4 linked regions of the Rhinolophus ferrumequinum genome follow. The protein of the gene in region 2 purifies or fractionates together with the protein of the main gene of each other region. This does not show direct contact. Links are inferred from orthologs where the notes say so. Each region holds a gene or a part of one and is shown on either strand. Other genes may lie near its edges. The genes, in order: KHDRBS1, HNRNPA1, HNRNPUL2 and DHX36.

Evidence for each region.
Region 1: the proteins of HNRNPA1 (region 2) and KHDRBS1 purify together in Homo sapiens (co-immunoprecipitation; 4 studies listed by BioGRID and IntAct, with this or other methods). This does not show direct contact. The link is inferred for Rhinolophus ferrumequinum from reciprocal best matches to the Homo sapiens genes HNRNPA1 and KHDRBS1.
Region 3: the proteins of HNRNPA1 (region 2) and HNRNPUL2 purify together in Homo sapiens (affinity purification with mass spectrometry; 3 studies listed by BioGRID and IntAct, with this or other methods). This does not show direct contact. The link is inferred for Rhinolophus ferrumequinum from reciprocal best matches to the Homo sapiens genes HNRNPA1 and HNRNPUL2.
Region 4: the proteins of HNRNPA1 (region 2) and DHX36 purify together in Homo sapiens (affinity purification with mass spectrometry; 3 studies listed by BioGRID and IntAct, with this or other methods). This does not show direct contact. The link is inferred for Rhinolophus ferrumequinum from reciprocal best matches to the Homo sapiens genes HNRNPA1 and DHX36.

What each region holds. Positions count from the first base shown.
Region 1 is NC_046292.1:21,975,699-21,982,838, reverse strand, and holds the start of KHDRBS1 (KH domain-containing, RNA-binding, signal transduction-associated protein 1), read right to left. Parts: upstream 3,009-7,140; 5' UTR 2,718-3,008; coding exon 2,336-2,717; intron 1-2,335. UniProt on the Homo sapiens protein: Recruited and tyrosine phosphorylated by several receptor systems, for example the T-cell, leptin and insulin receptors. Once phosphorylated, functions as an adapter protein in signal transduction cascades by binding to SH2 and SH3 domain-containing proteins.
Region 2 is NC_046293.1:54,024,385-54,032,370, forward strand, and holds the start of HNRNPA1 (heterogeneous nuclear ribonucleoprotein A1), read left to right. Parts: upstream 1-4,972; 5' UTR 4,973-5,115; coding exon 5,116-5,130; intron 5,131-5,674; coding exon 5,675-5,791; intron 5,792-6,088; coding exon 6,089-6,235; intron 6,236-6,363; coding exon 6,364-6,574; intron 6,575-6,671; coding exon 6,672-6,764; intron 6,765-6,848; coding exon 6,849-6,941; intron 6,942-7,229; coding exon 7,230-7,304; intron 7,305-7,518; coding exon 7,519-7,677; intron 7,678-7,986. UniProt on the Homo sapiens protein: Involved in the packaging of pre-mRNA into hnRNP particles, transport of poly(A) mRNA from the nucleus to the cytoplasm and modulation of splice site selection.
Region 3 is NC_046294.1:8,086,650-8,094,376, forward strand, and holds the start of HNRNPUL2 (heterogeneous nuclear ribonucleoprotein U-like protein 2), read left to right. Parts: upstream 1-4,720; 5' UTR 4,721-4,754; coding exon 4,755-5,292; intron 5,293-7,205; coding exon 7,206-7,341; intron 7,342-7,636; coding exon 7,637-7,713; intron 7,714-7,727. Other genes in the region: TTC9C (tetratricopeptide repeat protein 9C), read right to left, coding at 2,795-3,082, 3,687-3,753.
Region 4 is NC_046285.1:84,132,455-84,139,564, forward strand, and holds the start of DHX36 (ATP-dependent DNA/RNA helicase DHX36), read left to right. Parts: upstream 1-4,098; 5' UTR 4,099-4,172; coding exon 4,173-4,421; intron 4,422-7,110.

The sequences.
Region 1 (7,140 bases), on a different chromosome or scaffold from region 2:
GCTTTTTGCTAATTTTGTTACTTTAGGCAATTTAATCTTTGTATGAATGGTTCCCCCATCTGTAAAAGCGAGAATAAGAGTAACTTCCTCATAAGTTTTGTCGTAAAGACTAAATATTTGATGTAAAGTGCTCAGACCACTGCCTAGCACAGTGTGAGTTAGCTGTATTTTTCTCACACGTCTCCTTATCAGAGCTTAAATACTACTATTCTGTCTTCTCTGGGAGTCGGTTGACTTCACTACAATCTCTCTTCCAGATCATTAAAAAATACCTTAAACGTAGGGCCCAATATATATCAAGATTTATTCATGCTGAGAAATTTCCACAGATCTCAAGTCTGTTCTCTCAATAAGCCAACATTACTTTAATCTCATTTCTCCAATTAAAATTTCATTTTAGTTTAAAAAAAAAGACAAAAAAGCCCAAGGTAAAAAAAATTAAAGAGCATTCTCTTGCAACAGAATTTAAGCAGTGAGAGAGGGTGAAAATTATAAATAACTTTAAAGGATCACTAGTTTTTGATGGTTATCCCAAGAAATCACCTTTTACTTAAAAGATGAATACCATACTGGGTACTTGGTGTGGTCAGAAAGGCAAAAAATATGTTGTATTTTCATACCATATTTAGTACCACAGATTTATCACTTGTGGTGACAAGTTATTATCTAATGATTATAGGTCGAAGGGAACTGTGCTAGTGCTTTTACACATCATTTAATCCTCACAACTCACCACTCCACTTTACAGTTGAGGTCACTGAGGTTCAGGAAGTTTCCCAAGTCAAGGGTCAGAATTTCAAGCCTAAGCCAAGACTTTAAAAGTCCTAAAGTTTGTTATTTTATCTCACAAATTTAACCTGGACTAATTAAAGACTTGAGGAAATAAAAATTAGACTACCAAGTCAACCTTTACTACTCGGACATTCCTAAATCTGCTTTCAAATTCAAGCACCTGGGGTTTGCTACATGTAAGACAATAGAAAAATATAAAGATAAAAAGCATTCCTTGCTCTCAAAAACCTTGCCAGAATACATGAACAGTAATGCTTCAAACAATCCATTACAGAACAGCAAAGCACTGAGTTCATAATGTAAACACTTTATCTAACTGTGCTTATTCTTGACCACTGAGTGCTTTATGCTTTTAAAGACCCCTTAGCAATGTTGGGAGATAGAGAACAAAGGGAGCGAAGTATTCTCATAAGGATCTGCCTGTTACATTAACCTTGTCAAAAAGTCCAGTTAGTCACTCATTCAGTGTTGAAGGCTGTGAATTTGTACTTATTAAAATTTAGGTATCATATAAGAACTACTTATTAAAACAACGTTTCAACTAGAAGTGAGGGCAAAACAGACGGCTTTAGGGAGAAATCAGAGCGACTAGGTGATTGGCTAGTGCAGAGCAGAAAAGGAGCAGCGACACAGAACAAAGACTATACTATTCCTAATCTATTTCACTACTGAAGCAAAAAGAAAAAAAAACACAAAGAAAAAGGCTTTCAGGTACAAGCATCGTGCAACTTCCTCAATTTTTGTCCATTTCGTTGGGGAATGTCATGCAAACCACCCGTTCCTCCCTCTTCCCAGTTTCACTGTCTCTAGGGTTATTTTTCCCCTTCTTGAATGATGGTGAACACAAGTTGTAAAATAAGAGGGTCCGTGCTTATTCTTGACCACTTCCAGCTCTGCAGCAATGATTATTTTAGGTGCAAGTCGGAAATACGATTCGGATAACCTCAAGCGTCGATTCCCACCGGTTGCTCCTACCTCGGAGCAACTTAAGCTCCAGTTACCGCTAAGTCTGACCCGGCCCTAGCAACCGCGGCGCGCTGGACAGGGCACTCCAGCCTCACCCCATCTCACCTCCGCCCGCCCTCCCACGGCCCCCCCTCGCTCAGGCTGTCTTCACCTCCTACACCCTCAGTTGAGGCGCCTACCGCCACCCGCAGACGAAAAAGCTTTCCCTTTCGGGGGCAGGGGGAGATAAAGGTTCATTTCTGGAAGAATCTGAGCACTCGGAGCGTGGGGCAGCTGCAAGAGGTGGGAGGGGGATCACAAAGGGGGCGGGAGCGCAGCACTATCCATCAACATCTTTGCACTCAGAGATCGCCAAGTGCCTTTCGGGCCTCCACTGCAGCCTAGACGTTCTCCCTCGCACCCAGGGCCGGGATGGGAATGTGCAATCCAGACTACCGAAGATGAGAATGAGGAAACGAGAAGGGGAGTTCATGACTGCTTTGGTCCCGAGGGGGCGGGAAGAGAGAAGAACAAAGCCGCTGCCACCCATGCTCCCGGGTGGCCGGGCGACCCAGAAGGACTCGGGAGGCCCGCTTACCTGCCGTCAGCAATTGCATGGCGTGAGTGAAGGACGGGTCGAGCGAGTCCTTCTCGGCCATGAGTTCGGGCAGGTACTTGTTCTCCGGCTCCATTTTAACGGAGGCAGTGGCTGAGGGGGGCAGCAGCGGGGTCGGAGCCGGACCGCCCACTGTCGTGTCGGGACCCGTGGCCGAGGGCGGCAGCAGCGGTGGCGGCTGCGTGGCGGGCGAGGCCCGGGCGGTCCCCCGGGATCCCCCTCCGCCTCCCCGGGACCGATGAGGCAGCGGCGGCTGCCGAGACGGCGCCTGACGTACTGAAGGGTGGGCACCCGAGGGGTCCATGGAGCCGCTGCGGCCCGAGGACCGGCTCATGCGCGCGGCGGGGTCGTCCCGGCGCTGCATTGGGGAGGATGTGCGATCGAAGGATCGAGGAAGCGACGCGGCAGCGGCAGAGGCCCGAGTGGCGGTTGGCGGGGGTAGGAGAGCAGGAGCGACGGCGACCGAAGCCGACCCGAGCGACCCAGCGAAAGAGCACCGGAAATGAGGCGTCGCGCGTGCGCAGCCAGTCTCCGGCACCGCCCTTGGGTCTCTCCGCGAAGAACAAAGTCCCCAATCGGGCCACGGCGCCTGCGCACCGGCGAGGAACCCGAAGATGTCGCCTCCCTGCTCCTCTTTTCCCTCGGAGCCCGCCAGGCCAAAGCCTTGTGCGCTTGCGCGGGTGGCGGCGGGCAGCATTCGTTTTCTCTACCACGTGACTGGGCGCTAGCGGGACACGTGTCTCCTCCCCCTTCGGGCCGAGTGCGCGGTGGGGGCGGGGGCTGTGGAATGTCTTTGTCTGCGCGCGGACCCGCGGAGTGTGGGGCGGGAGACCTGTTACTGGCGGGGCCACGCCCCCTCTAACGGCTCAGCAGTAGAGGGGGGTTGTGCTCAATGAGGTGGGAGGGGTTATTGAAGTAGGGGAATAAAAGGAGACCGGCGGGAGAGACGCGAGGTTGCGGGTGGCGTGGGTTAGAGGAGAAAATTGAGGCTGGCTGGGCCTGGGAAGAGAGGAGGAAGAGACAGGGCAGAGGGGAGGCTGGGGTGAAGAAGGAACGACTAAGGGAGAGTCTGACGCAGGGCTGAAGGGTGCAGATGAGAAAGGAAAGCTTGGAGGGAAAAATTGAGGAAGGACTCGGCAGTGGGAAGACTGAAGGCTGTTGGAGGACTTGAACTAAGATTCTTCCGCAAAAAGTGGGCTAGAGGCCAGGTCCATAATCCATGATGGTTGCATCATTAGGGTGGCTCCTTCTACTGATGTGAGTGGTAAGCCTCCTGCCTCTTTTTGGGCCCTTCACACTGGATTCTTCCAGACCTGTTCAAAGAGATCCTTACCACTGCTCTCAAGGCCAAGGTGTATAGTGGACAGTCTGCCAACGCATTCTCCTCATTCTGGTGCCTTCTTTAACCTTTCCTTCCTTTCACAGATATTTGCTTCTCCCTTTCTAAGCACTCCCATCCCTTTTCCTTCTGGATCAGTTTCCCAGAATAAGCCAACGCTTTTCAGGAGCATTTCTGGAAATTATCTTCTGGGTGCCTGGAAACTTTTGATTTTGGGATCTGAAACTTTGAAGCCTTCAACAAGAGAACATTAAGGCCTGGCAACCTTGTGAGTGGGGGAGAGAAACCACCCACAGAAATGAGAACAAAACACAAATATCTTCACAAATTATCACATATATAGATATATTTCTGGTGTCAGGTGCAGTACTTTGAGGTCACAAACGTAGTTTATATTCAAGTAGGAGGAAAAAAAGAATGTTTTAAATAATTGTAATGAAAAATTGTAATGTGACAAATGCCAAGAGATAAGTGAATATTAAGTACGATTGGAGTTCAAAGCACAAGATAGATTTTGGCCAGAGGAGAATGAGTTCCAGGCAAAGGGAAGCGTGAACAAATGAGCAGAGATGAGAATGTCAGAGACGCATTTAAGGAATGGGAGTAATCGAGTTGTGAACTGTGAAGAAATAGTGGGGGGAGACATCAAATGCATGGAGGAGGGAAAGGGGGCAAGGAGGATTTATAGCTCCCTTGCAACTCATTTCTGCTGCTGTCCTTGAACATTCTGCTTGGGTGATGGTGTTACAAATGGCTGAAGTGTCCTTGTTGTGTAATGAGATGCCCAGATGGAGGAGGTACCTTGAGCTGAGGCTAATAAAACTTTGATAAGGAAGTGTCTGAGAAGGAGCTGGGTAGTGGTATCTGTGGGTTTCTAGACGGAATCAACATTCTTACCAGATGGCTGCCAAATCTTACTTTCTCTGAGGGTGGGGTTGAAGGGAGCTTTGAGCTCTTCTTCAGGGTGAGATGCACAAAAGGTAATTTCTGAAACGATGATTGTGTGCCCACAGTGTACTTATTACCAAGTACGTGGTGCAGCAGCCTTCCATTGTGGGGGGACCGGTGGAGGGAATGGTACAGGAACCCTTCCTTAGGAATTGGGAAGAGTAATTCCTGTCCTGAAAGCCTAGAGGTCTGCAGTTCATTTTCTGTGGACCATGGTATGCTGTCTGAGGTTCTCCTGAAGGTATTAACAATATGGCCTTGAGAAAAGACTGACTTTGGAGTAAGACGGACGATTTCAAATGTAGTGTTGCCTTGTTTTGGCTGTGTGTCATTGAGAAAACCATAACCTGTCTGAGCTGTAGTTTCCTTCTCTATAAAATGGAGGTAATGACATCTACCTTGCAGAATTGTGAACATTAACAAATATCAGTGTAAACCTCCCAATAGTAGGGCTTATAAGCAGAAGTAATAATAATTACTATGTTATTTAGTGCCTAGTGAAGAGTTTTGGGTGCTCATGCTGGCTGTGGATTTGCAAGGCCTGCTCTCTAATCTCTTGTTTTCACAGGCTGTAGCTATACTTTGTTTTGGAGCAGGGAGGTTCCAAAAAGACTAAGTTACTTATACCCTATTTCCTCACATAGTCCAGTTACTATGGCAGAGGGTGCAGGAGCAATTGAGAGCATAGTGATTCAGATGGAGTTAGGGCCAAAGCTGGCTCTTCCTCTTACATGCTGAATGATCGAGCACTTAACTTAATCTTTCTCAGCCTCTCCTTCCTTCTCTTCGGTAAAACGGGTCAGAATAGCCACCTCAGGGCTGTTCGGATTAAAGGAGGGAGCATCTGTAAAGTACTCGGCACAGGGTCTGGCAATTAGTAGGTAATTGATAAGCGATAGAGGCCATTGTTATTACTACACACATTTATCTATCGAGTACCTTATTGCAGACTTTCACTTTCACGTGAGTTCCTAACTGATGGGCTGAAAAGAATGGAGGTTTGCCTGACCTGTGTGATCTCCACAGATGGGGGATCTGCAGGCCCTACCTACCTCCCCAGCTTCACAGCCAGTTCCCAGGAGAAGAAGGGCTCCAGCCCTGGGCAGGAGAGTTTCTCTTCCGAGAATGTAGCTCCTCTGTTCAATCTTAAATACCTACTTGGTGCCAAATATATGGAGGGTGGAGAAGTAGACAGGGAGATCAAGATTCAACATTTTAAAGTGTTTTTCTAAGATTTTTTCGTTATAGAAATACATACTTCTAGCTTTACGAAAAATCCAACCATAATAAAGGCAGAAAGTGACAAGTAAAAGTCCCCCCAAAACCTTGCACATTCACTTGACTGCCCTTCCTTAAAGATACCCACTATTCAGTGGTTGCTTGTGTAGGCTACCAGACACATCTATATGCAAGTGTGTCTTTTTTGTTCTAAACACAAACTGCAGCATTCTATACCAACAGTTTTTGATTTGTTTTTAAATAAAATATTCTGGCTACCTTTCCTTGTCAGTATATAAGTTTATTTCTTTTTTTTCCTCATGGTCGTGTAGTATTTCATTGCGCGCTTTTAACCAGTTCCCGTCTGATATAAATATAGGTTGATTCCAGCTTTTCCGTATTGCAAACCGTACTGCAATGAGCACCACTGCACAGAACATCTCTGTGCATAATATCAATATAGGATAATTCCTAGAAATGACACAAAAAGACTGCGCCAAGCAGCAAGGTAGGCAGCATCTTCTTTTCCCACCTCCTCAATCAATTCTGGGTACTGTCTTCCCATCTTTTTAGTCTTCACCAATATGATAGCTGAAACGGCATGGGATTGAACATTGAATAAGAATCTATGCCCTCAAGGAGTTCATTGTTTAATGAAGGAGACAAATACATAAACCAAGAGTGACCATGTAGTACTGTGAAAAGTTTTATAATCAAGCACTATACAAATTGCTGTGGGAATACACAGGAAGGAGTGACGGACCAACTCCTGATCTGAATTTGGAAAGTAGTTAAGTGGGGTACAGGGGCAGGGCATTTAAATATTGAAAGTTCAGCGGAGCTTTGTCCCCTAATATTCCCTCCTCTAATAGGTTCATGGCTTTGGAATTTAAATCTGTAGCCCAATCTTCCGAGTTCCAAATCCAGATAGCCAAGTGCATCCCTGACCGCTCTATTTGGATGTCTCAGAAGACCCTCAAACTCAGCATGTCCCCAGTAGAACTCAAACTGCAGCCACTAGCAGTGCTGCTTCAGGGCCCAGATGACTTACGTAGCTCGGGGCTTGGGAGAAGCTCCTCTTTTCGGACCCAGGCCTGTTCCAGCACCTTGAGAGCATCAGGGCCAGCAAAACTTAAGGAGGCATTCACTTTCAGGGCCATTCTCCTTGCTTGCTGCACTCTAGTCCCAAGCTGCTCTTAGCATTCCCACCCTTTGGCAGGAGCCATGGGCAGGGACAGAAGGGATTGGAGCAGGGCTGGTGTGCCCAGTGACTTGACCCCAC
Region 2 (7,986 bases):
GCCTCCAGAGGGGGCTCAACACCTTAATTACAGGCTTCTGGCCTCCAGACTTGTGAGAATCAATTCTGTTGTTTGAAGCCACCAAGTTTGTGGTAAATTTGGTATAGTAGTTACAAGAAATTAATACACAGGGAAAGTAAAATTTTAAAATCCATAAACTGGACATATATAAAACAAATTACTGATCCATAAAGAACTGTGCTTCAAGTGACCCAAGGACTGCCTAAAACCTCTAATCCTCATTTCAAAGAGTAAAATGAGGTAAACACAGGATGCAATTTACCCAAAAAATATTAAATGTTGACAGATCTGAGAAGACAAACTCAGAAAGGTTTAATATTTACGTAGCTGCTAAGAACAGTGTACGTTCCCCCAAAACATGCTAGTTGGTAGAGCTCCTGGGCAGACTAAACATAGGCAACAGTTGTCACTGTGGGTGTTCTGCCAAAACAAGTGTAAAGTTGTCATCAGAAATGAATATGTGGCTTCAAGTGGCTTACAGAAATCCAGCAAATCTGCGTCTTGGACTCTGCACAAGCCAACTCTTCTCAGGATGACCTGGACTCCTTCCCACTAGTACAAATGATCAGCTAAAGCCATCCTCTATAAGGAGGGAAGGAAAATCAAATTTATGTCACAAAAAAAAAAAATTGCTGAGTCCAAGTTCATGTGTAAATAGCAGCCATACTGAGTCAGTCACAAGTGATATCTCACACTATAATTTATTACTTTTAAAATCAATATTCACAGCTTTAGGCCCAATTTCATGTCAAGTGAATGGAAATAAAAATAGACCAAGTAAAAGAACAAAAAAGGAAAGAAATGCTTTACCAGGGGTTGTTACATGGGCTATTCTAATAAGATATATAAATCATGCTATGTGGTTAAATAAAATACCTCAATAAAAGCAAAAAACACTAGCCTTCCTCCCAAACCTTTGTACCCTGGATACCTTTTCTAGAACTACTGTCAGGGCTCTAAAACCACCAAAACTTTCCTAGACATATAAAAACCCAGTCACTTCAGAGGATGTTCTTTCTCTTTTGTTCAACCATCACCCTGCTCACCTACCACCCAGATAGAAGCTTTCTACTGATTGGTTTTCAGTGAAGGTGTGTTATTTTCTCTTTCAGGTTTGGCTGCAATAGTATGCCTCTAAGATCTAAGCACAGGTGCTTGAAATTTAATTTTTGTAACTCAGGCTCAACATTTTGTCGTGTTAACAACCAAACCAGGTTCTACAAAGGCAATGAAAAAAGTCTGAAGTTAGACAACGTGATAGTCTCAGAGTTTCAATGAAAAATTACCCACTAAAATTTACCCACCAGAGAAATGTTCATCATGCCTATTATGACATTTTAAGAGAATTCACAGTAAAACAAGCAATTTTTACTTGCACACCACAATAAACCAAGAACTCTATGTTCAAAGCCTGAAATCTTTCAAATGAAAATATATCAGACATCAAATAAGGGTTCACTGATTAATTTGTTTATAAATCCAAGTAGCTGGGGCCAAAGATGGGAGGAATAATCTCACACAGAGAATAATCTAAGGCGGCATAATTTAGTTACCTATTCTTTAGACCAGTTGTTTTTCTTTTTTCACTAAACTGTGGATCTGTACAGAGCTGTGAAATCAGTTCAGCAGAAAATGACCTGTATTTTTAAAAAAAGGAAATAGTGTACTGTAGATGCAAAAATGTCAAGAGTGCTTTGCACATTTATTTGTACAGTGAAACTTGTTTCAATGTGTGTACAGGGTCAATATAAAATATATTTTTTATTAAGGGTCAACATCTAAAAAGGTTTGAGACATTGATCCAAAAGAATCCCAATAAAGGGCGGCCCGGTGGCTCAGGCGGTTAGAGCTCCATGCTCCTAACTCCAAAGGCTGCCAGTTCGATTCCCACATGGGCCAGTGGGCTCTCAACCACAAGGTTGCCAGTTCAATTCCTCCAGTCCCGCAAGGGACGGTGGGCAGCGCCCCCTGCAACTAAGATTGAACACGGCACCTTGAGCTGAGCTGCCGTTGAGCTCCCGAATGACTCGGTTGGAGTGCATCCTCTCAACCACAAGGTTGCCGGTTCGACTCCCACCAGGGATGGTGGACTGCACCCCCTGCAACTAGCAACAGCAACTGGACCTGGAGCTGAGCTGCGCCCTCCACAACTAAGACTGAAAGGAAACAACTTGAAGCTGAAAGGCACACTCCACAACTAAGATTGAAAGGACAACAACTTGACTTGGAAAAAAAAAAAAAGAAAGTCCTGGAAGTACACACTGTTCCCCATAAAGTCCTGTTCCCCTTCTCCAATAAAATCTAAAAAAAAAAGAAAGAAAAAAAAGAATCCCAATAAAGGAAAGAGGCTTAACTCAGGTGAAAATGTAAGAAGCATCTGAGGCAAGTATATCTTTTTAAAAAAACGTATTTGCCATTATTTTAGAAAGCCAAACAGAAGATGCAATCAAACATGTTTAAATAGTAAACACCTTAATGAAATTTTCCTTCTATCCAATGGAACACTATATCTGAAGAGATAATCATTAGGATTTAGTAATCCATTTACTAAAAACCACCTCCTAAACACATCACCACCCATCTTCTCCCTCTAATTTCCAATTGGTAAAAGATTTTGACAAAATAATCAACTCTAGCATGTCAGTTTAGATCAATGGTTTTCAACTGGGGATTATTTTGCCCAAACACCCAACCCCCAGGACATCTGGCAGTGTCAGGAGACATTTTGATTGTCAAAAATGGGGGTGAGAGGTGAGATGCATTTGCAGGAAATGTCAATAGTGCTGAAGTTAAGAAACCCTGTAGATCAAGACTATTCTTTTCAAACCTATATCCTTTTAATTCTTAAAAATTAAGGAGCCGCATTTTGAGCATACCTACAAATACTTTATAAACAACGTGAAATAGGTTTGTCCTTTGGGAAGTGCCAGAGAACATGGAAATCTCTCTGTTCATATCTCAACTAAAATCACCTTTTATAAGTCAGAAATGTTCTCTAACCATAAGGATACTTCATATGCAATTGAACTCACGGCAGTATTCAAAGATTTTTTTCCCTTGACTCTAAATAAATACATCAGTGAGTAAAGCAGTATATATTCTGATACAGCCAAAATGTAATGAAAATTTCTGTATTTTAGTAAAAATCTTGGAATAAGCAGAATGGGCATTACCAACAGGGAATGGACTGCATCTAAAAATAAACACTTTTAAGGAAATATAATCAAAAGGCAATGAACTAACCCAGGTGATGGATGAGCCCTTCTGTCCCCAACACCCTAAATCAACAGACTTTAATTTTAATCACAAATTATTATTATCCCTGCAAAGATTTAAACATTAGAGATCTAATCTGCCTCAATGCCACTGTATTCCTGGGGGTAACACACTTTGGTCTGTAGCTTTCCAAAACTTTTTCTATGGACTTACAAATATCGAGTTGTATGTGGAAATATGTATTATTACGTAGATATTCCTCAGGCACCTTTTCAAGACAGTACAATCTCTATTTGTTCTAACATTTCAAGTCGGTCTTCCTAAAGAAGCTAGTTCTCAAAGTCAAAAGACCTTCTTCCTTGCTCCCCCCAAAACCTATGGTGGATGGTGGGATGTACTGATGTGTGTGTGTTGGAGGGGGCGGGGGGATGCCCAACTCGACGTACACAGGAGCAAACGTATCGTTTCCATACCAGGGAGGCTTATGCGATGGAGGCCTAAAGGCTTCGTTAGAAAAGTCATAGTGGATAAAATATCCATCCCGAAGCGCCATCACAGGCATTGAATCCCTTTCCTCATCAACACAAATCCAGCACCTCCGTCTTTTGGAGCGCTGATTGGACGACCCGGGAGAGCGCTCTCAGTAGGTTGTCCTCCTACTGGCTCCAGATTTGGTCCATCCATTTTACCGCCCAACTCCCGCATTTCCCATTGGAGTCAAACCGCTGCCTCTTAGAGGAGCCCAACCTACCGCGCGCTTCGTGCTCATTGGCTTAGTGAGACGCTGCTCAGAAGGGGAAAACCCGCCTCCCACATTCCGATGGCCCAAGGACCGATCAGTCGGCAGCTAAAGGCAGACCCAATTGGCCTATACACTCGCCAGTCAAACTCTTAGACGGCAAAGCTCCACAGAACTTACAGGGATAAAACATCCCGCCCCTGTTCTTCCATTGGTTGGCCGGACCCACCGCTCCCCCTCCGCTAGCCCCCACCCCGCGGTCCATTCATTTCACACAATAACGGGCCCATTTGGAGTCGGTTCAAGACCTCGTATGGGTAGGCAAGACTGTCCGCCACTTACCCGGGATCGAGACCGATCACTCACGCTAATGTCTTCCCTGTTCTTCTGTGGTGAGGCCGGACCACAAGCCACAGCTGCCGCCGCCTTCTGCGCAACGCCAACCGCCCGCCAAAACGGATCCTTCCCTGCGCCTGCGCGACCAATCCTGGGACCAGACCTTTTTCTCCGCCCATTACGCCTGCGCAAAACGAGGCACAACTCCCGCCACAACGCAGGCGCTGTAGGTTCGCCGCCGTCTCCCGCCCGCCATTTCACGTGTTCCAAGAGTCAAGCGGAACTTCTTATTGCGCCTGCGTAAACTCGCCATTTTACTACACATGCGCTCAGCAGGCGGTTGTTGCAAACAATAAAATTAATATGCTATTTTTTAATACACTGCATTAATCATAAATTGACAACTGAATAGAATGTAATATTCGGGGCGTGGAGAGCCAAAAAGTTATTCAAATACCTTCAGGATGTTCAAATATGAATGATTGGTTGGCTAGCCAATCACACTAGTCAGGAGTAACATTACACGGGAACCAATGGACTCCAAGGGGTGGAGACTACGTAGAACGCCCAAACGGATGACGTTACACAGCAATGCGGCACCACAGTCCAATAGTAGCAGGAAGCTATTTCAAATATCCAGTCAGAGCTACTCAGGGGCGGAGTCTACCAATGCCGTAAGCGAGGAGGCGGGATAAAACAGCGAGGCCGAAGGTAGGCTGGCAGATACGTTCGTTAGATCACTCCTTTCTGTCGGTGGACGCCGCCGAGTAAGCATCGTTAAAGTCACCCCTCCCGCGGTCGTCATGTCTAAGTCAGAGGTAAGATGCTCTGTCCAACTTAATTTTCTTCCTCGCTCCTTTCTGAGTTGGGTTGGATGCGGCCTGGATTGGTTGTTTGCGCCAGCCCATTCGGCAGTTCTTCGGTCACTGCCAGGGCCTACCCCTCCCGAAGTTCAGGTCGCCATTTTGTCCTCGTCGTCGCCATGAGGCCGCCGTTCTGCAACCCTTAGTTATCACGCCGGGTTTGGTCCTCCTGGTAAAACTCTTAGGCACAGTGAACGATTTTTATCTCGTCTCAGTGGGCGAGTTTTTTTTTTTTTAAGCAGCTGTGGTCCCTTATTGGCGATGCACTCCTCCCGCCCAGACCTTTTGTTGGCGCGTGCGTCGGAGGGATTGTAGGGGCGCATGCGCTCGCCGTTTCCCAGCCCCCAACATAGAGCCTCCCCAATGGGGAGAAGCACGTGGCTTGCTGCGACCCTCTGGAACAATAAGTGCTATGTACGTTGCTGTCTCGTTTCTCTTAATTGGAAGATGTTTTGCGATACAGACCGACATAACGCTTTCCCTCCCCCCCCACTCTTAGTCTCCCAAAGAGCCTGAACAGCTGCGGAAGCTCTTCATCGGAGGTTTGAGCTTTGAAACAACCGATGAGAGTCTGAGGAGCCATTTTGAGCAATGGGGAACGCTCACAGACTGTGTGGTAAGACCTGGAAGAGACAAAAGAGCACTGGAACTAGTTGATTTCATTGGCTTATCTTGTTATACTTACTGTCCGAATGCTTTTGAAGATTGCTAACAGGATTATAGTTGGAAGTAACTTGGCAAGGGAAGGTGAGGCTTTAACTGATTAAGATGTAAATAGATTTGTTAGATGGGTAAGATTAAGTTGAAGGGCTTTGTATGAGGGCTAGTATAAAGTTTCCTGCTACCTTATCCAAGGTAGAAATGACAGTAGTTCTTGGAGTCTTAATATGTGTTAAATGAATTAATATCTCAGGTGATGAGAGACCCAAACACCAAACGCTCCAGAGGCTTTGGGTTTGTCACCTATGCCACTGTGGAGGAGGTGGACGCAGCCATGAATGCAAGGCCACACAAGGTGGATGGAAGAGTTGTGGAACCAAAGAGGGCTGTCTCAAGAGAAGTAAGTGTTTTTTCTTTCCGTTAGTCATATAGAAGTGTGCTACTAGGTGGATGTTACGTTCAGGGATGTTGGCAAACTTTAATACTGATTTTGCTGATGTAAGTCACTTAATTGGATTTTTCCTTTAGGATTCTCAAAGACCTGGTGCCCACTTAACTGTGAAAAAGATTTTTGTCGGTGGTATTAAAGAAGACACTGAAGAGCATCACCTAAGAGATTATTTTGAACAGTATGGGAAAATTGAAGTGATAGAAATCATGACTGACCGAGGCAGTGGCAAGAAGAGAGGCTTTGCTTTTGTAACCTTTGATGACCATGACTCTGTAGACAAGATTGTCAGTGAGTATCAGATGACTGGTATTTACCAAGGGGTTTGAAATCCATATCTTTCTCTAAACCCTGAGAATTGTCCCTTTTCATTGTTGAAATTTTTTAGTTCAGAAATACCATACTGTGAATGGCCACAACTGTGAAGTAAGGAAAGCCCTATCTAAACAAGAGATGGCTAGTGCTTCATCCAGTCAAAGAGGTGGGTTTGTTGCTTTTAGTTAAACCTTAAATAAAGGTAACTGAGCAATTACAATCTGTGGTTTAACACTTATCTCTTCTTAAGGTCGAAGTGGTTCTGGAAACTTCGGTGGTGGTCGAGGAGGTGGCTTTGGTGGGAATGACAACTTTGGTCGTGGAGGAAACTTCAGTGGTCGAGGTACATGTGGTTCTGCTTTATTGGGAATTAAGGGTAAGCTTGTGATGTAATTACCTGCCTGACTTGTGCTTTTTACAACCTGCAGCTCTATGTAACTACTGACTGGCATTTCTAAAGTTACAGTTTTATCCAAATGTAGTTCTGGTTTCTGCTAATCAGAAGTTAAAATCTTTGGTGTGGAAATCATTTTAGTAGTACAGGAACTGCTCCCTGAAGTAGACTTGAAAGGCTATAATTATATGTGATGCACGTACTCCGAACCTGCTTTAAAACTCCACTTTCTTCCAGGTGGCTTTGGAGGCAGTCGTGGAGGAGGAGGATATGGTGGCAGTGGGGATGGCTATAATGGATTTGGTAATGATGGTACGTTTGTGTGGTTTTTGTTTCTTTAGGAATACATGGGTGGAAAGTTTGTGGTAACCTATAGTCTATACTAGGTTAGTAGAGACTAAAACTAGTGCATGACAAGCTGAACTCTGACTATAACAGCATGTGACCAGGCTGTTACCCATTATGCTTAAACAGATTTTGATTGTTGAATACTTTTGTCTTATTGAGAAGAATTGTATTCTTGTAGGTGGTTATGGAGGAGGCGGCCCTGGTTACTCTGGAGGAAGCAGAGGCTATGGAAGTGGTGGACAGGGTTATGGAAACCAGGGCAGTGGCTATGGCGGGAGTGGCAGCTATGACAGCTATAACAACGGAGGAGGCGGAGGCGGCTTTGGCGGTGGTAGTGGTAGGTATCCAGTGATCCAGGTACTTGGTGCAGTAGCTAGATTAGCCTTGTAGAATTTGTGCCCGTATGGGGATTTGGTGCTCTTAAAGCATTATGTGGTACGCTGCATGGTATTTTTTAATGGACTTGCTGTGCTACCTCCTCCTGGCTTTAAGCTGGGGCCGCCTCACTCCCAAATAGATGAATAAATGGATAGTGGCATCTTCAGCTGGAATCAGATTAGCTTCTAGCAGCATTTAGTATCTTTGGGACTTTAGGCACTTAGTTGATGTATCCAGCATGTTTGCAGTGCCCCTGAATGGGTAAAGG
Region 3 (7,727 bases), on a different chromosome or scaffold from region 2:
AAGTAAAGTAAGTTGTCCAAGATCCCACAGCTTGTAGGTGGAATGAGTAAGAAATCTGAACCAAGGACTCTCTAATTCCAAAATCATCCTCATTCTCTATTATGATTCTCTATTACTTCACCATTCCCTTGGATGACTGAATGGCATCTCAAAATACAAATCTGTTCAGGAGACAACGTTCAGGCCAATGTTCTGTCTTTGTATAATTAAGAAGGGAAATGGTTCCCTATTTCATAATTGTGGGAATTAAACCCAGTATTATCACATCGTGGTGCTGAGAACCGAGAACGAAGGCTGATGAGTTATTGAAGGGCCTAGGCTGATGTTTGCATTCCTTCTGCAACATCCCCACCAAGTGGTCATATGGTTTATATTTAGATGTTTCCCCAGATTGGTGGTCACTTAATCCATTGCTGTAGATTCATCCATTCAACAACTAGTTATGGAGTAATGAGCACATGCGAGGCAGAGCGGGAGCAGGGGTTTAAGAGGAACAAAACAAACATCTTGATGAGTAAAGAGCTAGTTCCCAAGTAGTAGGAATACACAATAAACAAATAAATGAAGTTTTCAAAAGTGCTTTGAGAAAAACAGAACTGTCCTGGGATAGTGAATGAGGTCAGAGTGCAGTTTGGTTACTGAAGGCCTCTCTAAGAAAATGACTTCTGAGCCAAGATCTGAATGACAAGGGTCATTCAAGGGATAAGGCATTCTAACCTGACAGAAGAGATCGTACAGAGCTGCTGGAAGGTGGAAATGTACTTTACAAAGTCAGTGTATGGAGAATCCAGATCCTGTCCAGCCCTGCAGATAACGGTCAGAGTTGGGATTTTTTCCTAAGTGTGATGAGATGCCATTAGAAGGTTTTAGGTAGTGACACGATCTGGCTTCCTTCTCTGTACAATGGGGATAACCCTAACTTCCTTCCAGAATTTTTGAGAAATGAGATATTGTAAATAAATTCTCACCATGTTAATTGGCAGGCAGTAAGTGAAAACTTTTAATTCAGTGAGTCTTTAGGGAGCATCTACCAACCACCCACAAGCAGAGGCTTTACAGATAGGTGGCTGAGCCATGGTCTCTGCCTTCCAGTCCACCTGCAGTCAAGACATTGACAGGTACCCATCTCTACAGCATCTCATTTCCTTGACTTCTAGTCAGTTCTTTAATACATATCCTATTCTCTAATAGTGTGCAGTATTCTGCAATAAGAATTCTGGAGTTAAGAATTGCCCAGGTTTAATTTTAGTTCTATCGCTTACTAGCTGTTTCCTTAAATTTACCTCAAATGATTTTTATGACACTTAAATAGGTTAATACGTGTAAAGGGCTTAAACAGTGTCTGCCCATGGCATTTTGTAGATGTCACCTCAATGAGCCCTCCCTGACCGCTCTCTTTAAAAGTGAACGCTCCCATGCCGGTAGCAGTCACTATCCGCATTTTCTGCTTGCTTTCTTTTAGAAGGTACTTATCACCTTCTAACATCTATATATGTTATTCTTGTTGATGTTAATTGTCCATCTCCCTTACTCGAATACACGTTCCATGAGCGGGGATCCTCAGCAGCTAATAAATAATTGTTCAAATAAAACTTTAACTATTATAATTATTATTGTTACTTGAGTCTAAGAGTAGTACTATACACACACTGTAAAAAAGCTAGATTTTAGGGCCAGCCTAGGGGGCTCAGGTGGTTGAAGAGCAGTGCTCCTAACACCGAGGTCAGGGGTTCAATTCCCACATGGGCCAGTGAGCTGCGCCCTCTACAGCTGAGATTGTGAACAACAGCTCTCCCTGGAGCTGGGCTGCCCTGAGCAGCCAGAGGTTGGCAAGAGCTGCGGTGGGCTGCTGTGTGCTGCCACGCGGCCAGTGGCCATCGTGAGTGGCCGGCTGTCAGCGTGAATGGCAGGACCAGCGACCTACTGCCTCAGCGGAGGAGTAGAAGGCTCATAATACCAGCATAGGCCAGGGAGCTGTGTCCTACATAACTGTACTTAGAAACAACGCCTTGAACTGGAGTGGGAGGCGGGGGCAAAAGAACGGGGAGAGAAGCTAGATTTTTGCCACACCACAGCTGATGAGTATTATAGTAAAAAAAAAAAAATCACTTTTAAACAACCATTACAAAGTGTAAAAACCACTCCTAATAATTTCTAGGGCTTCAACTTGGCCCATTAGAACGTTTTAATATACTTCAAAATAATTAGCTCTATGGTTATTTTTGCTGCCATAGAACAGACCTAAGAATTAATCTTTCTCCTGGCAGATTAATCCTAGAGATAGTCTTAACATCCATTAAGGCCATCTGGAGATTGAAGATACTTATCCAAGATACCATCTAGCTGATTTATAAGGAGGAAAATGAGGAAAAGCTATCAAAAACATCTAATATGGATGACTTACATCAGCTGAAGCATGTGCCTTCTTTCCTGTTTTTTAAATACTAAAGAAACAACATCATGAGGGTAAGTTCAGTACTTTCTCTATAGCGCGCACAATTCCCTAAACGTATCAGCATCACCTGGGAGTCCCTCAGATCGTGGGCACTACCTCAGGCCCATTAAATCAGAATCTCTGGGGGTGGAGCTCAGGAGGTGTGTTTAACAAACTCTCCAGATGAAATGTGAGACTGCCGCCCGACAGAAACTCAATTAGTGCCATATAGATTGGAAATTATTTCAATTCATAGCAGAATTAGATGACAGCAGAAAAGCACGTCAGTGTTTTTTCCCAATGGTCAGATTTTCATGTGCCTGCCTGTATACTCTACCCACCCTTCAGGCCTGTTCTTACCAGCTAGATTGTTGTAGCAGTCTGTCTGGATGGTGTGCAGTATGTTTTCTTGTTCAGGTGTGAGAGCTGGGCCCTGAGGTCCTAGATTAGGTATCGGGGAGGGCAGACTTGGATCCAGACCCCGCAGCTGAAGCAGAGCTCGATGGTACCTACTCACGGCATCTCGGTACTTCCCTTCCCGGTAACACTGGTTCCCTTTCTCCTTGTACAGCTGAGCCTCGTGCAGGCGCTTCTCCATAACTCTGTCGCTCAGTTCTCTTGAGGAATTGGGGAAAAACAACTGAAGCTCTGGAGATGGAAGCAAAATTACTGATTTTGATAGCCGATTTAAGTAGGGAGGAAATTACCCTTCTCCAGGAGGCCCTCCAGGGAAGGAGTTTTGCTTTTCACTACAGCTCCTCCCGCTCCTCTGCAGTATTTTTCAATCTCTAGAAGTGCAGGAAAATAATCAGGGAGAGGATGTGGCAATAGTAAAGCCAGAGATTAAGTGATTTTCCAAAGAGATGATTCGGGGTGAAGAGACCCTGAAAAAGCAAAGGCCGCACTAAGGAATTGGGGGAGGCATGCGAACGCCGGCGAATTTACTTCCTCCTTACTTTTAGACACACCTCCCTGACCTGGAAGTGAAAGGAAGTAGGCGGGGACAACGGCTAACAATAGTCTAAAAGGCTTGACTCCATCCGAGTTCTTTATTCGCACATATTCAACCAGCAATAGTTGACGTCTGTACCAGGAGCTGGGGAGCCGAGGTGAATGTGACCCGTGCACCACAACCCACAGGCCGAGACTGACCCAACCGCAGAGCAGCTCAGCTGCAAGTCCTCCAAGCCCCGCGGCCAGCCCCTCTTGCAAATGCCCAAGCCCGGAAATCTTCCCCTGGGCTTCGGTTTACCGGCCGGAGCATCCAAATGACAGGATCCGGTCTCCTGACAGTTTGTTGTTTCAAGGGTCGCGCGCATTGCGCCACGGCATCCAATCAGAAACGACCCCAGAAAAGTAATCCCGCAAAACGACCTCGCCTCTGCAGCCTCCCCTGCGGACCAACACAGAAAAAAAATTAAAAAAAATCCCCTGGCAGCTTCGCCAATTGGAAACGGACGATCATGGATGACCAATCAGAATTGCAGATGACGATTCAAGTTGGCCAATAAGAGAGCTAAACGGCGAGGTCAGGGCGTCTGTTGCTGGGTAGAAGTTAAGGGATGGGGGCCAAGTGGTTACGGTATTCCTTGGTTTTGGAGAGCCCTTTGGCTTACCAAGCAGAAAGACAATTACTAGTAGGCTTTCACGTTGCAACAGCTTCCTTCCTGGCTCTTATTTTTTTCTGACTCTCAACAAGCTGCTGTACGTAGAGACAGTAGAGGAAAGGGACTAGTGAGCAAACCCCAAGACGACAGCGCGATCCGGTCAGACGGGAGTGAGGGTGGTAACTGGACTGAAGGGGCGTGTGGGAAGGGAGCTCCGGGCGGCTGCGCAGTCCCCGACTGGAAGTACGAAAAAACGGGTGCGCACACGCCTCCGTGCTACGAGGCACTTGAGCCGCAGCCAGCCTTCCCCGTCTCCGGCTCCGGCGCGGCTGCGCGGTGAAACTACCGGCGGCGATTGGCCCAGAGGGTAAGAAGGGGTGGGAGGTTAAAGGGAGGGAAGTCCGTCGTCCTCGGCGCGCGCCCGCCAGCGGCAAGGGGACCGAGGGAGCAAGAGGGGAAATATTACCCTAGTGCGTGGTTTTGGGGTCCTCGGGCCTAAAAGGGAAAAGGAGCTGGAGGGAGAACCAAACACGACGTAGCGGAGGCTGCGCGCAGTCCTTGTTGCTTGCGTGCGTCCGTGCGTGCGCTCGCTCGCGCGGGCTCAGTGCTGGCGCGTGAAGCGGAGGCGGGCGGCGGCGGCGCCTGCGCGGTTGGGCTCGGTCGACGGTTCGCAGGGGAGGAGGCGGCGGGAGGCGGAGGAGGCGGCGGCTGCGATGGAGGTGAAGCGGCTGAAAGTGACCGAGCTGCGGTCGGAGCTGCAGCGGCGGGGCCTGGACTCACGCGGCCTCAAGGTGGATCTGGCGCAGCGGCTGCAGGAGGCGCTGGACGCCGAGATGCTCGAGGACGAGGCCGGCGGTGGCGGGGCCGGGCCCGGCGGGGCCTGCAAGGCGGAGCCTCGGCCTGTGGCCGCGTCGGGCGGCGGCCCGGGTGCGGACGAGGAGGACGACGAAGAGGAGGAGGAGGACGAGGAGGCGCTGCTTGAGGACGAGGACGAAGAGCCACCCCCTGCCCAGGCCTCGGGCCAGGCCGCGCAGCCGCCGCCAGAGCCCCCGGAGGCGGCAGCTATGGAGGCCGCGGGCGAGCCGGATGCTTCCGAGAAGCCGGCGGAGGAGGCCACGGCCGAGTCAGGTGGGGTAAATGGTGGCGAAGAGCAGGGCACCGGCAAGGGGGAGGAAGAGGAGCCGGAGGAGCGGAGCGGGGACGAGACGCCGGGATCCGAGGCGCCGGGTGACAAGGCCGCAGAGGAACAGGGTGAGGAGCTGGCAGCGGAGCCCGACTCCAGCATGCCGGGTGCGCCCCTGTCCCAGCACCCAGCCCTGCACCCCAGGGGCCGATCCCTTCTGATCACTTGCCTGAAAGTGCCTGATTCCCATCGGCATTTGATGGGACACCCCAGGGGACGGGACTTCCATTCTCTATCCCCTTTCTAGGAGGTTTGGCCGCCTCTGGTGGCCTCACTCTCTGCAGGAGGGAGGTTCTTGCTTAACTCGGTTCGTTGGTGGTAGTGGATGGAAGTGAGCCGTTTTGCATGCGAACTGCCTTTGAGCTACCTGTGGAGCAGCCTCCCGCGGTGCTGGTTATTTTTTCCCAAATCGAGAATGAGAATGCGTTAACGAATTGGCGATTCCACGGACAGCCAGACCGACTGTTGGAGGCTACCTGACTGTTGACTTTTTCGCCGTAAAAATATTAAGCAATAAACAATTCGTCAAAGTTCGCTCCATCAGAAGCACATTGCTAGAGTTTGAGCCACACAGAGAATCTGGCCAATCTAACCTTGTTCCTGCTTTAGCAGCAGGGGACAGCCTGTGGTGTGAGGGTGTCGAGTTTAATAGTTAACTAGTGAAGAGAAAGCCTTAATCTAGCACATTTAAAACAAGTCATTGAACTTGGCTAGGGGGTTTACTTTGTATTTTTAGGATTAAAATATAATCTTCCCACTGAGTTGATGGACGGGCATGTTTGTAAATTTGCTGTACACTTAAGTAGCCGTTTACATTTCTGGTCCCTAACTAACTTAATTGAAATGATTGAGGTTTTGGTGGGCCCATTGAGTAACCTTGTGGAAGAGAATGTGTAGCGTCACCGCGGGGAGTTAGTGACCTTTCTCTCTTCCTTTGAAGTGATTGGATGGTTAGAGGTGATCCATACTATCTGTCAGAGTGGGTTGGAAAACTAGAGTGTCTTCCAAGTCTTAGTATGTATGAAGTCGGTTGCCTTAGTTCGTTTTAGAATACATTTTTTAGGCTGCTACTTAGTATAGTATAATTGGAACCCATTCTACAATAGTCACATGCAAGTTGAAGATTGTCCTATGTCCTGGAACAAAAATCCCATTACATAACCTTTGACTTAACGTGTATCCCAAATAACAGATAATAAAGGTTGAGGGATAAAGGACTGCTTTAAATTATTATTAAAAACTTTCTTAGTATTGGAAACTGCAAAAGCCTAAGGAAAAATTCTTTTGTTTTTCTCTTGTAAAGAATGTTGCTAAATATATGACAACACCTTTCTGCCCCAAATTATGTGCAGTAAAGCTACAGTATTATTTATGGGTTTCTTGTGACTTAGTGGTTTGCTCTTGTAACTTTCAGTAAAAATACAGCTCTGTATCATGCACCTGAATCCACTTGCTAGATAAGTAAAGCCGTGATGGCTGTGCATTTTAAAGCTGGAAAGGCAAACTCTTTAAAAGAAATTCACAAAGTGAGGCTTCTGTATCATGAAGCTGTGGAAGTGTTGGAAAATACGTTTTCTGTCTAGCTTAAATTCTCATCTGACAATCAAGAATTTAAATTAACCTGTGAAGTTTTAAAAAATCAAGACTTAGGGGATATATTTTTCATGTCATATTGGTGGGGAAATCTGCAAGTTTGACCTGATTTAAGCAGATAAATTTAGAATGCAAAAATTGTCCAATTTTTATCTACTGCTTGCCTGTAACTAGCCCATAGTGTCTTTTTTTATTATTTTTTAATAAAAATCCCAGGTAATGACAGGAAGGTGATCTTTGAAAATAAACCACTCTGTGGATGCAGTGGGAGTAACTTGGCTACTCTGATTAGACAGATACTCAGATCCCCTTAAGTTTCTGTTGGTTCTGAGCTTATTCTTCACTCTAGTATGAAAAACTGCTGATTTTCTTTCCCTCCTTTTTGTAGGAGATGACCAAGATAGTGAAAAGTCAAAACCAGCAGGCTCAGATGGTGAGCGGCGGGGGGTAAAGAGACAGCGGGATGAGAAGGATGAACATGGCCGAGCTTACTATGAATTCCGAGAGGAGGCTTACCACAGCCGGTGAGGGAAACAGTCCCTTTCATTGAAGGGAGTGTCTGCTCTGATATTGGTATACCTGGTGTTGATTGGAGTCTGCAAAGAGGGGTGGATTAAAAATGGAATAGGGTTTTATAGGCATAAGTTTTAGATTGAATCTACCCTGGAAGCTCCTGTTGCCCTTTTCTCATTTGCTGAAAGAAGCTGTCTGCTGGAATTTTATATTCACTGATAGTTAAAAATGGACGTGATGTCATGCAGACACTCCTCAAAGAAGAGGGCTTTGGTTACATTGTATTTGCTTTTCTCTCATGTATAGCTCAAAGTCTCCACCACCCACCGAAGAAGAGGCAAAAGATGAGGAGGAGGATCAAACTCTTGTGAACCTGGACACGTGTATGTATGAGGCA
Region 4 (7,110 bases), on a different chromosome or scaffold from region 2:
AACCTAAAAATTGTTGTGGTCCCAACCAAGGCAGGAAAAACAACGACGACAACAACAAAAACCCCAAAGAAAGAAACAAAAAAAAAAACCCAAGTAACAAATGATACTTTTCTTCTGACCAATATCTTTCTGGTCTTTCCTTGAAAATCTCCCTTTTGTGCAGATTTTTACTACAATGACATTTACTCTAAGTGTCTGCCTAAAGCAATAGTCTCAATCAATATCACACTACTTCATGCTGAAGACATCAGAAAAAAATAGTAATTTTAAATTTATAACCAAGATTCTGCTTAGGATCAACAAACATGAGATGAAGAGAAATAATATAATTTATCAGAAAATAGAAATAAAACTACCTCTATGTCCACGGTTTTCATGAGGATTGTATGAAATACGAAGTGTTATTACTTTTCTATTGCTGCCACAATAAATTACCACAAACTCAGAGACATAACACAGATTTCCTACCTTCCATCTATGTAGCGTAGACATTTTGACAAGGGTTCTCACTGGCGTTGGCAAGGTATTTCTTTCTGGAGGCTCTAGGGGAGAATCCATCTCCTTTTTCAGTTCTAGAGGCTATCTGCATTCCTCGGTTTATAGCCCCCTTCCTTCATCTTCAAAACCAGCAACAGTTGGTTGAGTTCTCATATCTCATCACTATGAACTTCTCTTCTGCCTCCCTCTTCCACTTTGAAGGACGCTTATAATTACATAAAGCTCATTCAGATAATCCAGGGTAACAGCCCCGTTTTAAGGTCAGCTGATTAGGAACCTTAATTTGCCTTGGCCATGCACTGTAACACATTCACAGGTTCTAGGAATTAGGATGTGGCCATCTCTGGGGGTCATTATTCTGATCACTAATGTGAATCACCTAGCGTTTGTTGCAAACGCTGAGCAACAAATAAGCCTAATTCTCTCCTCCACTTACTTTCTGCATTAGTGTGCTCAATCCGCCATAACAAAATACCACAGGTTTAGCCTCAGTGACATAAACAGCAGACAATTATTTCTCATAGTTTTGGAGGCTGGGAGATCTGAGATCAAGGTGCCAGCTGCTTCGGTTCCTGGGAGAGCTCTCTTCCAGCCTTGGAGACAGCCTCTTTGTGCTCCTGGGACCTTTCTCCTGAGGAAAGAGAGAGCAAGCTCTTTGGTCACTTTTCTTACAAGGACACTAATCCTAATGGATCGGGGTCCCACCTTTATGATTTAATTTAATTACTTCCTTAAAGGCCACCTCTCCAAATACAGTCACACTGGGCATTAGGACTTCAACACATAAATTTTGAGGGGACACATTCAGTCCATAACACTTTCTCACCTAACAGTCCACACTATCTCCAACATGCCTACGTAATCTTACCTATTGAACAATTGACAACTTGTTGCATCTTGTGTGCCCAATAGATACTTCAATTGGAACTATTCAATCCTATGGTCTTAATAATTGCCAAGAACTCCCAAAATGTATAACCTCTGTCTGCTCTCTCTGCTCTTTTAACTCACATAACCAACTGCTTTCTGGATATCTCAATTTGTATGTTTCATAGGTTTCTCAAACTCTACATGCATTAATTAAACACATTAACTCAACCGTCCCCCCACCCAACCAAAAAAAATTCTCCTCATGCTATGTTCCTCATCTCAGGATATGGTATCTCTTCATTTGATAGTCTTTCAAATCTTAAATTTGAAAGTCATCTTTCCTCTCATTCTCCACATTCAATGAATCACCAAGTCTTAATAATTTAATCTCCTAATATCTCTTAATTCCAGTCCTTCCCATGTCCCATCTTGCTTTGTCACCCCACATTGCCTCCCCTACACCTACTCTTGTCTCCTCTATTCTTTTCTATGCAAAGCAGCCAAAGTAATCACTCCACCACTTAAAGTGAACTCTTGTTCTTTATGTGTCATATAAGGTCCTCCATGATCAGGCTACTTCCTACCTCTTTGGCCTTTTCCATCAGTCTTTAAGTTTCAGTGTAGTTTTCTCACTCTTCAATGTTTCATCATCTCTTCTCACACATTTTCCCCTCCACCTGTAATAATCTCACCCCTTCCCATCAGTCTGGTTAAAGTCTACGTAGCTCAAAAGTCACTACTTAACTTCTCTTTCTTTAGAAAGGACTCATCTGACTTCAAAACTAGATTCTTTTTGCTGCAACATCTCATGGTTGTTGGGGAAGAAAAAACTTTTCCTCTACCTCCTAGGTTTAGCTTTTGGGAGCCTGCAAATTAAACTGACAAAAGACAGATAACCAAGAGAAAAGACAGATTTAGTCACACACCTAAGAAAGTTCACAGAAAAATGTGACTCAAGAAGGCAGTTAGAACTTGGGGCTGATGTGCCATTTTAACAGAGGGAGGAAAAGAGGGAAAAGGCATTTATGGAAAAAAAAAAGATATTTAGGAAAGATAATTGGGCTCTGGTGAGAATAAATGGGAGATATGATCTAGTTTTGTGACAATGTCTGTTTAGGTGTGGTGCTGACTTCTAGTCTCCAGTGGTAAAAGTCAATCTTCTCTGGTTATTCCCACAGGGAAGGGATATATGACATTGAGTTCTTTGGGGAGGCTCTGCTTTTAGGCAGATATGTGATTTCAGGAAATCAAATGCTTCTCTCAAAATATATATATGAGTTCCGACAATTAGGTTCATGAACCTGTTGCAATGATGTTGCTAATCTTTTTTGATATCAGAGGGATTATTCATTATGAATTTGTACCAACTAGATAAACAGTTAACCAAGTTGACTATTTGGAAGTGCTGAAAAGGCTGCATGAAAAAGTTAGACGACCTGAACTTTTTGTCAACAATTCATGGCTCTTGCATCACGACAATGCATCAGCTCACACGGCACTGTCTGTGAGGGAGTTTTTAGCCAGTAAACAAATAACTGTATTGGAACACCCTCCCTACTCACGTGATCTGGCCCCCAGTGACTTCTTCCTTCACCCAAAGAGAAAGAAAATATTGAAAGGAAGATATTTTGATGACATCAGGACATCAAAGGTAATACGACAACAACTCTGATGGCCATTCCAGATAAAGAGTTCCAAAATTGCTTTGAAAGGTGGACTAGGTTCTGGCGTGGGTGCATAGCTTTCCAGGAGTACTTCAAAGGTGATCGTAGTGATATTCAGCAATAAGGTATGTAGCACTTTTTCTAGGATGAGTTCACCAACTTAACTGTCTGACCATATGTGTGTGTGTATATATATATATATATATATATATTTAATGCCAGTCTTTTTTACAGCATACAGCATTTTCCTGTTTTAACTCACTGCACACTGATTTCTTTAGTCTTTATCTTCTACTCTACACTGTAAGCAAATGAAAGCTGATGTCGTACTTATCTTATTCAGTGAGCATCCCCAACACCTTTAAATCAGTTAAATGTGGAAATAAACTGGTTATCCCCCAGTGACTATCCAAGCCTGTGTGGCCCAGAGACTTGATTATTCAAGAACAGCTTGTGCTAGACACTCAGTAGCCTGGTCAATCAACAATAGATGGCTTCATACAAAAATAGGAATCTTCAACTGATGTTTTATTTAAATTGCCTAATTGCTCTGCACTGAATTTTGGTTGGACATGCTCATCTTATGCTATTGGATAAAGGTAGTAAATAATAACCTTTTAAAAGAGGCAGGGACAATTGGTATTTGAAACAGGTGCCAGGCTTTTTCCAAGATATAGGACTAGGAAAAGAAAAAAGATATGATGAACTCATTTCAGTTCTTCAGAGGGTTTTTAGAAGAGAATGCATCCTCCCACGGTTTTATGTCAACCTATGCTTAGTATCCTGGGCCTACTTGGACGCAAACTCCAGAGTTTACCACAAGGTAACAAAATAAAACCCGCTTCCTCACATGTTGAGAGTGAGAAAAGTAAACCGACGAGCCTTTAGCTTGCTCTCCCTCCAGATGCACGTCGGAAAACGACTGAGGGAACATCCAACAGGACTGCACCTCAACACCCTCTCGACGTCCACGGCTGTCTACCCGTGACGTCACCGGAAATGGGTGCTTGTGACGCTCCAGGGCCCTCCTTCTCGCGCTGGGCGCCGGAAGCAAAGTGAGAGTGGACGTGCACCCGCTTCCGGGCCCGGTCGCCATTTGCCGCGGTTGCGAGACCTCACGCGCTGTGGTCCTCGGGGACAATGAGCGATGACTACCATCAGAACTGGGGCCGCGATGGTGGGCCCCGCAGCTCCGGCGTGGGCTATGGAGGAAGCCATGGGAGGGGCCATGGAGGGAATCGGGGCTCCGGCGGCAGCGGCGGCGGCGGCGGAGGAGGTGGTGGTCGAGGCGGCAGAGGCCGACATCCCGGGCACCTGAAAGGCCGCGAAATCGGCTTGTGGTACGCGAAGAAACAGGGACAGAAGAACAAGGAAGCGGAGAGGCAGGAGGTAATCTGAGATGCGATAGTGCATGAGGCAGGACAGGTTTTCCTTTCCGTCTCACCGCGCCCCTAACTTTTTCTTTTTTTTTTTTGTTTTTTTAACTTGGTTTCTTAACTGGTATATGTGATTTGTGAAGCGCAGTATGAAGTGCAACGGTATACTGAAGCTTTCTGTAGCGAATGTCGTATGGCTTACCCTTAGCCATGCGAAGCAGACAACTTTCTGTGGGCTGAATGGATACTTTGCGTAAAGGACGTGAGAACTGGGGACAAAAGAAATGTTAATTTCAGGTTCCGACCGAAATTAACATTATTCGCGTGTCGCTGTCATAGTACCTCTGGCGGCCCTTTCCCTTAGAATAATTATGGTCACTTTTGTTTAAGATTTTTGCGTGAGGAACTCCAAAATAGCGACCCCCCTACAATAGATAAAGGTTTGCAGGGAACAAAAGCTGCCCGAGCACTGTTTTGAATGCACATCGTTCAAACGAAGAATAGTCCAGCTTTCATTTTTAGTATTAAAACAGCCACAAACCCAGGCCTTTTGTTTTCGTGTTGAGTTGGGGAGGTTTCAGCTTCTTAGCAGCTCCTCTTTGAGAAGGAAACTTAGGATCCTAGAAGAAAGTGGAAGTTTCAGGAGATGGTTTGGCTCAGGACTGTCTTTTCAGGATGGTGATTGGTTCCTAGCTTGAAGATTTGTAGTAAAGATTGAAGTTTCCTGAGTGGCCTATTCTAATAGATACATAATTAAACAGAAGCTTTCTTTACATAAGTCTTAGAACAGCTTTTTAGTGACTTCTTTAAAAGCACCCTTTATATTTGGTACAGAGTGTAATTAAATCACCATTTAGGCTTTTGTTTTTAAATAATTTTTTATTTTTCTTTAATTCATGTCGTTTTTATTGAAATGTTTTTGAGCGTTACCCATTCATCTTCACAACTTAAGATATTCTCTTCAAGAAAAACCAGCAGGCTTCTTTGGCAACCAAAATTAACTTGTTCATTAAGCAAACTTTATTTTTTAATTAAGGGGAGCACATCTAAGTCATTTTGAAATTAGAAGATAATTGAGTGATTACTATAAAAGGATGTACACAGTAACTTTCTAAGACTCCATCAAATTTTATTTGCCCATTTCACACAAGGTTTTATGCACGTTGCTGTGGGGATCTGAAGAATTATGATGTTCAAGGGGCTTACAATCTAGTTGGGAAATAAAAGACCTAAACAGATGAAAAGTTAAATGAATGAGGAATAATTGTTCATATTATTTCCATCTGAAATCAGTTGTGCGATGGATCATTGTGAATGAAACTTGCTTTCCAACTCCTCCCCAAACTTGCTCCATTTTAGTAAATGTCACTACCATTTATTTATCACAATTTGAGATTAGAGGCCAGGTCACTTCTGTCTCAATCTGATAATACATTTCAGGACATCCTAACCTGTTGTCCAGGAATCTTGGTAATCTAGCTTCAACATAACAGGTTTCCCTCTATGTGCTTATCTTGAAAGCAGTGGCTTTCAAACTTGTTGATGCTTTCCACAAAAAGGAATATAGTTTAAATTGCAACCCAGTGCACAGGTATTTATAACTGAAAAAAAAGTTTCATAAAGTAATACTTAATTACCTGTACATTGTTCTGGGTTTTGTTGTTATTTTGTACCTTTCTGCTCTTTTTTATTAATACTGGTCATGATCCTTTGATTTTACAACTGGCAATATGAAAAGCCCTGGGCTAGAAATACAAGGGCTTTGAAATTGATTGAGTTTTCCCTAAGAACTCCAGCAAGCCATTAAAGCATTTTAAGGGGAAAAAAAAGGGATTGTGTTTAAATCCATTCTCTGGTAGTATAGAGAATGGATTGAGAAGAGACAATCCTGGGACAGGGAGACTAGTTAAGTAGCCCTTCCAGTAATTAAAGTGAGAAATGAGGGCTTGAATTAAGACATTGGCAGTGGAGAAGGAGGGAGGTGGACAGATTAAAGTGACTTAAGAGCTAGACTCAGAATGATTTTCTTTGGAGGGAAGGGGAAATGACACTTATGACTTTATAAGGAGCAGAGGTGATGGAGGAAGAGGATGGACTCAGCTAAGGACTGAGTTTGACATTGTTGTAGGACGTGCAAAAGATGATTTGAGGGAGGTAGAAAGCCACGTCTGGATCTGATGCCTTGCGAAGTCTAGTCTGCAGGTGAACATCTGGCAGTTTGTGGCCCTATGGCTAGTCCTTGGACAGTGCAGGCCTGAATTCTGTGTACCTTTGCTTCTCCAACTTGAATGTGCATAGGAACCAGTTGGTGTCTTGTTAGAAGGTAGAAGTGGGCTGGGGTCAGAGATGGTACTTTTCTACCAGAGTCCCAGTGGTGTCAGTGCTGCTGCTCTGCAGATCCTCGGGCTGGCCAGTGCAGCACAGGAGAATGTAATGGGCAGGCTGAGGGAGAGAGGCTCGTGAAAGGATCTCGGAAGGAGCAGCCAGAGAAGAAGAAAGTAAGGAGATGGGTGTTGTTTTGGAATCCAGGAGTTTTGTTTAAGGGGGGAAAATGTCTGTAAAAAAGAGAAAGTGATCAAGGGTGGCAAACACTGCAGATGTCACACAGGTAGAGCAACAGTCTATTGGATTTAGCGACAGTGTCATTGGTAACCTTGATGAGAGCCCGTTCAGTGGAATGGTGGAAATAAAAACCAGATTGT